3 linked regions of the Drosophila melanogaster genome follow. The main gene of each other region encodes a partner of the protein of the gene in region 2 in a complex. Each region holds a gene or a part of one and is shown on either strand. Other genes may lie near its edges.

The links.
Region 1: esc (region 2) and E(z) share a complex: the UniProt entries of both Drosophila melanogaster proteins name them as parts of the polycomb repressive complex.
Region 3: esc (region 2) and Caf1-55 share a complex: the UniProt entries of both Drosophila melanogaster proteins name them as parts of the polycomb repressive complex.

Annotation. Positions count from the first base shown.
Region 1 is NT_037436.4:10,636,129-10,639,959, forward strand, and holds the start of E(z) (enhancer of zeste), read right to left. Parts: upstream 1,752-3,831; 5' UTR 1,634-1,751; coding exon 1,512-1,633; intron 1,450-1,511; coding exon 718-1,449; intron 657-717; coding exon 496-656; intron 313-495; coding exon 298-312; intron 1-297. Other genes in the region: Cnep1r2 (CTD nuclear envelope phosphatase 1 regulatory subunit 2), read left to right, coding at 2,176-2,197, 2,295-2,366, 2,426-2,572, 3,087-3,241; CG18628 (uncharacterized protein), read left to right, coding at 3,671-3,728, 3,792-3,831. UniProt on the Drosophila melanogaster protein: Polycomb group (PcG) protein. Catalytic subunit of the Esc/E(z) complex, which methylates 'Lys-9' and 'Lys-27' of histone H3, leading to transcriptional repression of the affected target gene.
Region 2 is NT_033779.5:11,827,552-11,831,151, reverse strand, and holds the start of esc (extra sexcombs), read left to right. Parts: upstream 1-1,746; 5' UTR 1,747-1,916; coding exon 1,917-1,976; intron 1,977-2,048; coding exon 2,049-2,182; intron 2,183-2,244; coding exon 2,245-2,416; intron 2,417-2,780; coding exon 2,781-3,600. Other genes in the region: Pde1c (phosphodiesterase 1c), read left to right, coding at 321-875. UniProt on the Drosophila melanogaster protein: Polycomb group (PcG) protein.
Region 3 is NT_033777.3:15,223,345-15,227,175, forward strand, and holds the start of Caf1-55 (chromatin assembly factor 1, p55 subunit), read left to right. Parts: upstream 1-2,231; 5' UTR 2,232-2,548; coding exon 2,549-2,570; intron 2,571-2,621; coding exon 2,622-3,182; intron 3,183-3,292; coding exon 3,293-3,831. Other genes in the region: CG31344 (uncharacterized protein), read right to left, coding at 89-1,043, 1,398-1,590, 1,739-1,802. UniProt on the Drosophila melanogaster protein: Core histone-binding subunit that may target chromatin assembly factors, chromatin remodeling factors and histone deacetylases to their histone substrates in a manner that is regulated by nucleosomal DNA.

The sequences.
Region 1 (3,831 bases), on a different chromosome or scaffold from region 2:
ATCGGGCGAAAATCACTTGATGTCTATGAAACGCTTTTGGATTAGCATGAGGGTAATCGGTTACATTTGAAGAGATAGAGAGAAATGGTCCAGCCAAAGCCACACGAAAATGAGGTGAGCAACACCGAGGGGTCAATTTAGACACATGACAAACATAGCCAAATTATCCACCGATATGGGTTATTATAAAAATTATATTCATAGACAGCGAGATGAGGATGCGGAGGCGTTGACGGGCAAACGGCATGAGAGTGTGTGCGTGTGGTTATCGAAACAACAACTACAACAACGACTCACCCTGCACATGGTGACCTAAATTGCAATTAATTCAATACATTTTGGAATTTCGTTTTTTTTTTTGGGGGTTTAAGAAATGGTACAGATTTGTGTTTTTTGGTAAGATAATATTGTTTCCAAACAAGAAAAGAAAAGCAAAAACAAAACGTAAAGTCATTAGGTAACCCAGCTGGCAGCAGTTCCCATCGTTTAACTTACGGTGCAGGAAGCAGTCGTATTTGAAGCAACGACGACAGAAGAGCGTGTGAAAGGAGTGCATAGTCCTTTCCCGGGAAACGCTCTCGGCCTTGATGCCGTCAATGTTGGGTGTGCACTCCTGTGGGCGCTCCGGATCCTGGTGCTCCGTAAGCTCAATGTACCTAGCAAAAAGAAAAAGCCGTAAGAAGGGATATTTACTAACCTGGTTATCAAATTACATACTTTTCTTTGAGCTCTTGCGCGGTGCCCTTGTCTGGAAAGTTAGCGCTGATGGCCTGAAAAATAATGGGCGCAGGGAAGGGCAGCTTGTCCTTGACTTCTTCCACATCGGGCTTAACATCCGCATCTTCAGTCTCCAGCGGTTCTTCAGTTTCCTTCTTCTCAACTTCAGTCAGATCCCCTTTGCTGTCGGTTTTCTCAAGCTTCATGGGAGATTCACCATCTGCGTCAACATCAACTACCCCATCATCTTCGCCCTGTTTTGATTTCGCCAACGTCTCTGTTTTAATGGCAGTCGCTGTACCCGGAGCGGCTTCCTCCAGTTCCTTGCTGTAGGAGCGCATAAGGGCGTGCACCAGTTCTACGAAGATGGCATCGTCCATGAACGAGGGATCCTTGTCGCCGTGAACCTTGCCATCGTAGTTTTTGATCAGTTCCTCTATGAACTTGCCATCCTTATCGAGGACCTCGTCGCCCATATAGGGTATATTGTGCAGCACCGTCTCATCCTCCACCATGAAGTTCTGCTGTGTTGGTGCCCACGTGTACATGGTGGGTATGGGAGTGACCGCGTTGATCACGCAAATGGGCACCTTTTGCGGACCGCTGGGAATGCCATTGTAGCTAGTCACCTCCGCCCGCTTCACACAGTCCACATGCGGCGGATCGTAGGGTTTAGCCTGCCAAACCTTCGACTCGCAGTACAGATCCTGTACATTGTGGTTGTGCTCGTCCCTGGAGGATATGTGTACATAGATTTTCGATTCCCAGACATCCACCATCTCTCCCGCGCTTACCAGTTTCTTATCCACGCCTCCTTGATCTCGTCGGCACGTTTGTAGCGCTTCTGCTGCCTGATTTTGATGTACTCCGACTTGACACGCCTCTTCCACTCGGGCGGCACTTTAGTGCTATTCATAATGCCTTCGAGGGACTTTATATTTGTTGATTTTACGTATAAAAAACACTGATTTTGCTACAAATATTATCCGCCTTTTTTTGCAACAGCTGCCGCAGTGTGACCGTTGTACTGCAGGAAGAATAACTTAGACACATGGGTGTATGTAGAAGACCATTTAGTGGGTACTTAATTTGTCCGGTAAGCCATTAATTATATTTATATTATAATAAAAACTATGATATTTTTGTATTAAAATAATATAAATATAATATAAATAATACATAAATATAATACTCACTTTAAATTAGCTATACAACCATTTTGTACTGAAAGTAGGAAATAAACAAAGAGCCCCTCTTTGGTACGACCCTGCTTTGTGTAGTGTTGAGAAACGCAGCCCGTTATCAGTGCTCTCAAACGTGGAATGTCATCAAAAACATAAAAAGAGGAAAAGAAAGCTATGAGAACCTCATCAAATAATAATAATAAATACAATAATATTTAAACTGGACAAATTTAATCGCATTAAGACGGCCACGAGCTTTGAGGAAATAGCTGCAATGGAACCGTCAGCCTGCGAAGGTATGTAACTCGCCGGCAAAAGAGAGCCGGAAAACGCGCAAGCCACTGACTATGTTTACCAACCATAACTGGGTTTGTTTTCCTCGCTCCTCTGCAGATCTCAAGGCCTTCGAGCGGCGCCTCACCGAAGTGGTTTCATCGTACCGTCCCTCGACGTTCCGCTGGCGCAGTAAGTTGCATCCGTATAATGAGAACACCAGGGAGCATTACAATCCGTAATAACCATAGAGCTTCTTGCAGTTGTCCTTTCCGCCATGTCCATGTGCACCGCCATCAGCGCCTGGTACTGGCTACGCGATCCGCGCACCACCGTTGTACCGCTAACGGAGTCCCTCTGGATTCATCCCGTCTTCACAGTCGCCACCCTAACATTGGGTAAGAATCGGTGTAGCCACTACTGTACTCCGTACATAGGTCACTTTTTGTAGTCAACAGCGGCGGTCATTGAACCTCGGATATTCTACCTAGTATGGAGAATAATTTTAATACCAAGCCATACCATGCTATTTAAATCCATATAATCATATCGTAGAGCAAGTCGATACTATATATCAGGTTATCTCAGGCTACTCGGTAAAAAGAAAGGATCAAAATCAAGAATTTCAAATTTTTAGGTATTTCTACTGTTATTTTGAGTAGAATACACTCCTTATATCTATCACATCTATGCAAACTACATAAGTACATTCTCCAAATTTTAGCAACATTAGGTTGCCTTTAATCTTGTCAAAGCTCTTCGCTTTATCAAATTCGATTTGTATATATCAATATTGATAGTCCAACTGATTAAGAATTTTCAGCTAACAAACACTTCCATTTAATCTAATCTAATTTTTTTGGTTTGAAACTGACTTACTGATTTTGTAAACCTTATCATTTCTCTCCGCAGTCGTCCTGTTCATCCTGGGCATACAGAAACTAGTCATAGCTCCGCAAATAATTACATCGAGAACGCGAATGGTACTGGGAGACTTTAATATGAGCTGTGACGACACGGGGAAGCTGATACTCAAGCCGCGGCAAAGTAACAACAACAGTACATGAGCACCGGCCAGCTTCCAGGACGTTTATTTAGTTAATTGCTAGTTCCCTTACCCTTTTCTTTTTTCCTACATGTTGATTCGGACACCCTCGCTTTGTAAGCGTATTTTTAAAGTACCTCTTATTTCTCCCCTACACATTTTGTTTAATTATAGAAGCTCCTTTGTACAAAAAAACAAAAAGAAAAGAAATCAATTGTTAAGCTTTATGTGTTTCGTTAATGGCGTTACCCATCGCTGCCAAATACACCAAGCGACATTTCAATATCAATTCATCTATAACTAACGAGTTGCTCGCAAATTGTGCAACGACAAGTGTTTTTGTATATTTGGAGCGGTTTTTATCGAGCCGCATTCTGTATAAATAGGGAGTCTGTGCAGTTCCAAGGCATCAGAAGCAAGCAAGCCATCTGTACAACAAACCAGCTTTACCATGAAGTTCCTACTCGTGTGCACTCTCATCCTGGGCCTCGCCTTCTTCATGGCCTCTGGCAAGGATTGCAATGGGTTACGCTCGACAACAGCTCTACTTAACTGCTTCCCATACATTCTAGCCCTTCCCCAACTGAACAACGAGGCCCCCATGGTTGGCGA
Region 2 (3,600 bases):
CTGCCCCTACTAAACCCAAAAGCTTTATCACAATCTCTCAACTGATGTTCTATTTATATATTCTTTCTTTCTATTGCCAAAACTATTTACCTAAAACCAAAAAAAAAAAAAAACATGAAAACTAAATGAAAACTTTTGCACAAAACACACAAACAATCCGAATGCTATGCAACGTCAAATCAACGTGGTGTCTCGTTGCCCAAAAATTGCCCATTTGCATTTTCGCTGTTACTCACTGCCAACTGCTGGGCGCCGAAAAACTTGACCGCCTTGGCACTCGAAACTGGCGCCCAACGTATGCCGGCCATTTACTTCTGCAGGGAGGGCTGCAATGGGAATTGCAAGAACCTGAACTGCAGTCGCCATAGCCACGGACGCGATGACCAGCAGCAGGACAACAACAACTCCAATAGGAGTTGCAGCCTGCAGGAGGCGTCGCCTGGGGGAGCAGGTGCAGGTGTCACACCAGGCGCTGACAACCAGGACAGCATAGAGAGTCGCACCAAGGGCGTTTCCCAGGCGCCGCAGACCCACAGTGGCCCAACGGGTCCACCATCCAACACCTCGAGCGAAACTATCGCACAACCTGCCCCTAAGCTTCAACCCGCCCTGGAAACCGTAAGGGAATCGGTGATGGAAGAAAGTCCTTCGAAGGATCCCGGCGACAAGGGACCACCGCCGCCCGCCAGCACATCCACATTGACATCCCAAACCACCACCTCCTCCAGCGCAACCGCGGAGCCAAGTGCCAAGGCGGCCGAGAGTCAAGCGGGAAGTGCCGGCAGCAGTGGCAGTTGCAGTAACCCAGCGGCGGTGCATCGGCAACGCCGCCTAAGGACACCCACCTGGGCCAGGTCCATGTCGACGAACAAAACGTACTTGAAATTTGATTTCTATGCTAGACTAACGTTTATCCGTTACGCCTCTTCAGTTCGTTCGATTTGCCTTTATCGTTTCACGTTTGCGTTAACCAACCAACAACCACACAGCTCCAGAATGAACTACTTTCTATATATACACACATAACTCTATGAACTCTGTCTCTCTATCTCTCCTTTATCCAATCTATCCATCTGTCTGCTGACCTCTGTCTGCGATTTCCACTGCTGTAATCTTCTGTCTAGCCTCTGTCCCCTACCCCAAATCTTTTGCTCGCTTCTGTTGTAAATAACTATTTTATCCTAGACTAATCAAAAAAAAAAAAAGAAAAAAGGACACTTGTTTCGTTCCCCAGCCGCGCTCAGCGGGATTGTAAATGTTTCGTTGCCGCGTTTGGACAAAAAATTGCTTACTACGTTTAAATACTCCGTGCAACTATTAAATCAAACTTACATTCATACGTAGTAAGCACTTGAAGGAGTGAGAACTGGAAGATATACTTTAAATGTATTCAAAACTGCTTAAAGTATTTGTATGATACATTTGCATTTCTGAGAAACTATATCTTCCACTTTTGACGCCACTCGCAAGCAGCAACTCTCCTAGTCTTGTCGACCAGTGTAATTTTGTGAATACATGTACAAAGTTTGAATACCGCACATGAATCCATGGCATGTTGATTGTCCTACATTTGTTTGTTTTCTATATTAAAAAACTAGCTTGCGCATGTGTTTTGTCGTTTTTGAACTTTTTTTAACTTTCCCGCCTAAGTGTGTTAAATACCGTTTAATGTTTACCAACACTGGCCAGCCGATCGTGACCAGGTGGCCACGCTGCGCAATGGTAAGACCGTACTGCCTGCAATGCCTGGGTATTTTACGCGATCCGTGACTGGGGTCACACCATTGCCGCCAAAAAAAAACATTTTCATTCGCCTCGTTATTTAAACATTTAAAAAAAGCATTATCGAATAGTTCATTGAAGTCGCGGCCTAATTTGGGTTTCATTTAACCGTACAAACGTGCCGCGCGTTCGAAATGAGCAGTGATAAAGTGAAAAACGGCAACGAGCCCGAGGAGTCGGAGGAATCATGCGGCGTGAGTAGCGAATGACAAATGGCTGTGCGAACCGAGAATTAATGGATCTTTTGGGCCATGTGCCGGCTGCAGGATGAGTCGGCCAGCTATACCACCAACAGCACCACCTCGCGCAGCAAGTCCCCGTCATCCAGCACGCGCAGCAAGCGCCGCGGTCGCCGGAGCACCAAATCGAAGCCAAAAAGTCGCGCCGCCTACAAATACGAGTAAGAATATGCACTTTCTCAGCTGGCCACTGATACTGAACCTACAAATGATTACCATGAAGCACCCACGTGAAGGAGAACCACGGAGCCAACATCTTCGGCGTAGCCTTCAACACGCTGCTGGGCAAGGATGAGCCACAGGTCTTCGCTACGGCGGGCAGCAACCGGGTGACCGTCTACGAGTGCCCTCGACAGGGCGGGATGCAGCTGCTCCACTGCTATGCAGATCCGGATGTGAGTCGCCAGGATACAGAATACACTTTCAAGACCCTATTGATCAGTTGGCTAAAGTTAGGGGCTTCATACATTAGACATCGCATTCAAAGCTGTAGAAAAAGTGGGATCCAGTCAAAGTTTCTATTAAATCATTGCTTTTGTTAATTGTTTTAAAGTAAGAACAATCGTTACAGGCTTTCAGCATGGTTTCACAATATCCAAACATTTATCATTTCTTGTATTAAGTTTGGTTTTTCATAACAGTCAAGTTTTCAAATTAAAGCTTATATTGTTAATTTAGCCGAGAGTAACTGAGAATATGGTCGCAAATGTAATTGTACAAACTCGAAATACATCAACAAATCTTGAATTCCCTTCCCAGCCCGATGAAGTATTTTACACCTGCGCCTGGTCGTACGACCTTAAGACCTCTTCACCTCTCCTGGCCGCTGCTGGATACCGCGGAGTCATCCGGGTTATTGATGTCGAGCAGAATGAGGCGGTGGGCAACTACATTGGCCATGGACAGGCCATTAACGAGCTGAAGTTCCATCCGCACAAGCTACAGCTTTTGCTTTCGGGCAGCAAGGATCACGCGATAAGATTGTGGAACATCCAGAGCCATGTGTGCATTGCCATCCTGGGCGGAGTGGAGGGACATCGCGATGAGGTGCTGTCCATCGACTTTAATATGCGTGGAGATCGCATTGTGTCGAGCGGCATGGATCACTCGCTGAAGCTGTGGTGTCTGAATACGCCCGAGTTCCATCACAAGATCGAACTGTCGAACACTTTCAGCCAGGAGAAGTCAACGCTGCCTTTCCCCACGGTGACCAAGCACTTCCCCGATTTTTCAACGCGGGATATACACAGGAACTATGTGGACTGTGTGCAGTGGTTCGGCAACTTTGTGCTCTCCAAGTCCTGCGAAAATGCCATTGTCTGCTGGAAACCGGGACAACTACATCAGAGCTTCGAGCAGGTGAAGCCGAGCGACTCCTCCTGCACGATAATTGCGGAATTCGAGTACGACGAGTGCGAGATCTGGTTCGTGAGATTCGGCTTCAATCCGTGGCAGAAGGTGATTGCCCTGGGCAATCAGCAGGGCAAGGTGTATGTGTGGGAGCTGGATCCCAGCGATCCCGAGGGCGCACACATGACCACCCTGCACAATTCGCGTAGCGTGGCCACTGTGCGCCAGA
Region 3 (3,831 bases), on a different chromosome or scaffold from region 2:
ATATGGTTAAAATATAAACTCAACATTCCTTTTACAACAATTACTTTGCATATTTATTGATAATTTACCTACTGAAACACAACACTATCTAATCGTCCTTCAAGCCCAGGGCAAAGTCTTGGGCTTCCCCGCCATTCCTGAAAATCCGCACATACGCGGACTTCGGGCCAAACTTCCAAATGGCGACGTAGGGCAAGTAATAGGTGAATATGTCCACCAGCCAGACGCGGAAGTTCAAGTACCATCGCACCAGGGCATACCTGTGCAGATATGTGACGAGGAACAGGCCGTAGCTGACTATGAATCGGTCCCACCATCCCATGTCGTAGTAGTGCAGCTTCTGCTGGGGATCCTGCGCCACTCCGTTCTCATGATCGAAACTGTAGTACTCGTATCCCTTAACGCAGGCCAATCGCTTGGCAAAGAATATGTTGGCATTCACCGACAGCATGGTGTTTATGTGCCACAAGCCATTAATCAGGGCCTCGGTCATTCGTTTGAAATCCTCCCCAGTGTTTGCCAGAGCTGGTTCGTATACCTTACGCATCACAATGTCCAGGCGGAGCTTTGACTCCGCCCAGTTCCTACCGCAGATGTTGTACTCATCCTTGATGCCCAGCAGATAGCCGAGAACGCGCCACATATGCGTAGTGGCCTCCAGGAAGTCCTGATCTTTCAGCTTTATGCGATGTGCGCCCATCGTTATGAAGCCAATGAAACCGAACTGCGTGAGCGCCAAATCCTTCTGGGTGATCTGTCCAGCTCCTTGGCGGGCGCACGCATGACTGGAGCGGCTGTGGGCCCGCCTCACGGCCGCAATGCTGGTCCAGAACCTGCTGCCACGGTCCGCGATGTTGTGGTTATACCAGGCTTGCGTGTGGAATATAGTACGCACATAGCGACGGTAGGCGGTGAACGCTGTCGAGGATTGGCGTGTGCACGACAGCACCCGGAGAATGGATGGAATAGCCAGCACGGCAATAAGACCAGCCAGCATTCCGGCGTTCATTACAAAGCGATACGTGCTAAAGTAGCTCTGACCACTGCAAGGAAAAGGAATAAAGAATCAATTAAGTAATTCGAATGCAGTTATATTATTTAAATTAAAATATACATATACATACATGTACATATACATATATATTGTTAAAAGTAAATGTATGTCGCCTTTTGTTATTAATATGTAAGCCCGTAGGTACAAAATTGGAATAATGAGCACAGATAAAGATAAGTATTATATGCTGCCTTTTCGCATTATTATTCACATAGCAAACTGCTACATAACTCCAAGCTTATAAATAACCCATGTGTATATGGATATTGTAATTATCACAATTATTTCTACTGTGGTTACTGGGCTAATATGCAATCAGTGAACAATTAGTCACGCAACTTACCGCCTGAATAGCTGCTCATCGTACCACGAAGGTAGCTCCAAATCAGCACCGCTGTCGCCCTCCTGACTGCCCTCCTTCATTAGGTGCTCCAAGTAGTCCTCGGGCTCCTGGTGATCCTGAAGCAGTTTTGAAGCCCCCGCTGCATTATGACCATCTTTGGAATGCGATGACGACTGCATTTTCCCACTGATCCCTGGAAAGTGACGTGCGATGTAGAAAACGAGCTTGAGGTCCAAATTCGGATTACACAAGTGAAAGAAAGAAAAGACAAACAAAATCGTCGGCGCGCCAAGAGAGAAAGTTTTTCATTCAACCCGCCAACAAGTCCACTGTGCACTTACACGTTTCACGCTTCGCGGGATGGGGGATCTCGGATGAGCTGCTGGTACAACCATCAACCTGCATGTCGGCCAAATTATTGCTTGTTAAACTATTTAGCAAACTCAATAGTTCAGCTCGTTACGTGCAAAAACATTTTGCATACACAATTGGAAAAAAAGCGTTGAGGATGAATCACGGCTGCCCACCGTCGTTGCGGTTGGGGAACTTAACTGCAACTGGCACGTTAGGCTCGTCAAATAAGAATGGAAAGCCGGTCATTGGCGCGTAAACTGGTTTCGAATCATTCGCACTGATAACGAATTAAGTAGTAAACTTTGTTTATGCACTTTAGTGTGCCCGCAACTGCAACCGTTAAAATATACCTTTTAAAACCCCAAATATATCGATGTAAACCACAAAATACTAAAATCATGACGCAGGAACGTAACAAGTATAAAAATACCGCGCAGTGTCATCTCCATAACTCTGTTATCGTTATCGTAATCGAATATGGCAGTCGTCTCGACAATCTTTAGCATTGCATCTCTATCATCGACGACGCGCTTGCAAAAAAACGAAGGAAATTAGCCAATTTCTATTTTGCCCTGACGTTACGCCGTTTAAAGTGTAAGTTCCCGGCCAGGATTCGACTCAATCCCTGCCACAACGACTTTCGGTCAAGTGTTCGTTGCGAGAGCTTTAACTACGTAGCGAACTTTCGTAGTTTTTCTGCACACGTTTTGCCGCTTCGGCTTTTGTTTTGGCGCCCGATTTTTTCGGCTGCCGACTTTTGACGCAGACTGAGAAATTGCGTGCCTAAAAGCCTCGAAATGGTGGATCGCAGCGATAATGGTAAGTCCGGTTAGAAGTTAATCGCCGCAATGTGTAACCATCGACCTTTAGCAGCGGAATCCTTCGACGACGCCGTCGAGGAGCGCGTGATCAATGAGGAGTATAAGATTTGGAAAAAGAACACGCCGTTCCTGTACGATCTGGTCATGACGCATGCCCTGGAATGGCCCTCGTTGACTGCCCAGTGGCTGCCGGACGTGACCAAGCAGGATGGCAAGGACTACTCGGTACATCGTCTTATACTGGGCACACACACATCTGACGAGCAGAACCATCTACTCATCGCCAGCGTTCAGTTGCCCAGCGAGGATGCCCAGTTCGATGGTTCGCACTACGATAACGAGAAGGGCGAGTTTGGAGGCTTTGGATCGGTGTGCGGCAAAATCGAAATCGAGATTAAGATCAACCACGAGGGCGAAGTGAACAGGGCCCGCTACATGCCCCAGAACGCCTGTGTAATCGCCACCAAGACGCCGTCGAGTGATGTCCTGGTCTTCGACTACACGAAGCATCCCAGCAAGCCGGAACCGTCTGGCGAGTGCCAGCCTGACCTGCGGCTGCGCGGTCATCAAAAGGAAGGCTACGGACTCTCTTGGAATCCCAACCTCAATGGTAAGTGCGTAGCTGTACCTAGTACTTATATATTAGCTCAGATAAGAGCTTGACACATCTAAAATGCATTACGTTTTAACCCTTAATGAACATCTTGATTGTCCTTACAGGCTATTTGCTGTCAGCCTCTGATGATCACACCATCTGCTTGTGGGACATCAATGCCACACCCAAGGAGCATAGGGTTATTGATGCCAAGAACATCTTCACCGGCCACACCGCCGTTGTTGAGGACGTGGCTTGGCATCTGCTACATGAGTCTCTGTTCGGATCGGTGGCTGACGACCAGAAGCTGATGATCTGGGACACGCGCAACAACAACACCTCGAAGCCCTCGCATACAGTGGACGCTCACACAGCGGAAGTCAATTGCTTGAGCTTTAATCCCTACTCGGAGTTCATTCTGGCCACGGGCTCCGCTGACAAGACTGTAGCTCTATGGGATCTGCGCAACCTCAAGCTAAAACTACATTCCTTCGAGTCGCACAAGGACGAGATCTTCCAAGTGCAGTGGTCGCCGCATAACGAGACTATTCTCGCCTCCTCCGGCACTGACCGCCGCCTACACGTCTGGGATTTGTCCAAAATCGGCGAGGAGCAGAGTACGGAGGATGCTGAGGACGGACCACCCGAGCTGCTCTTCATCCAT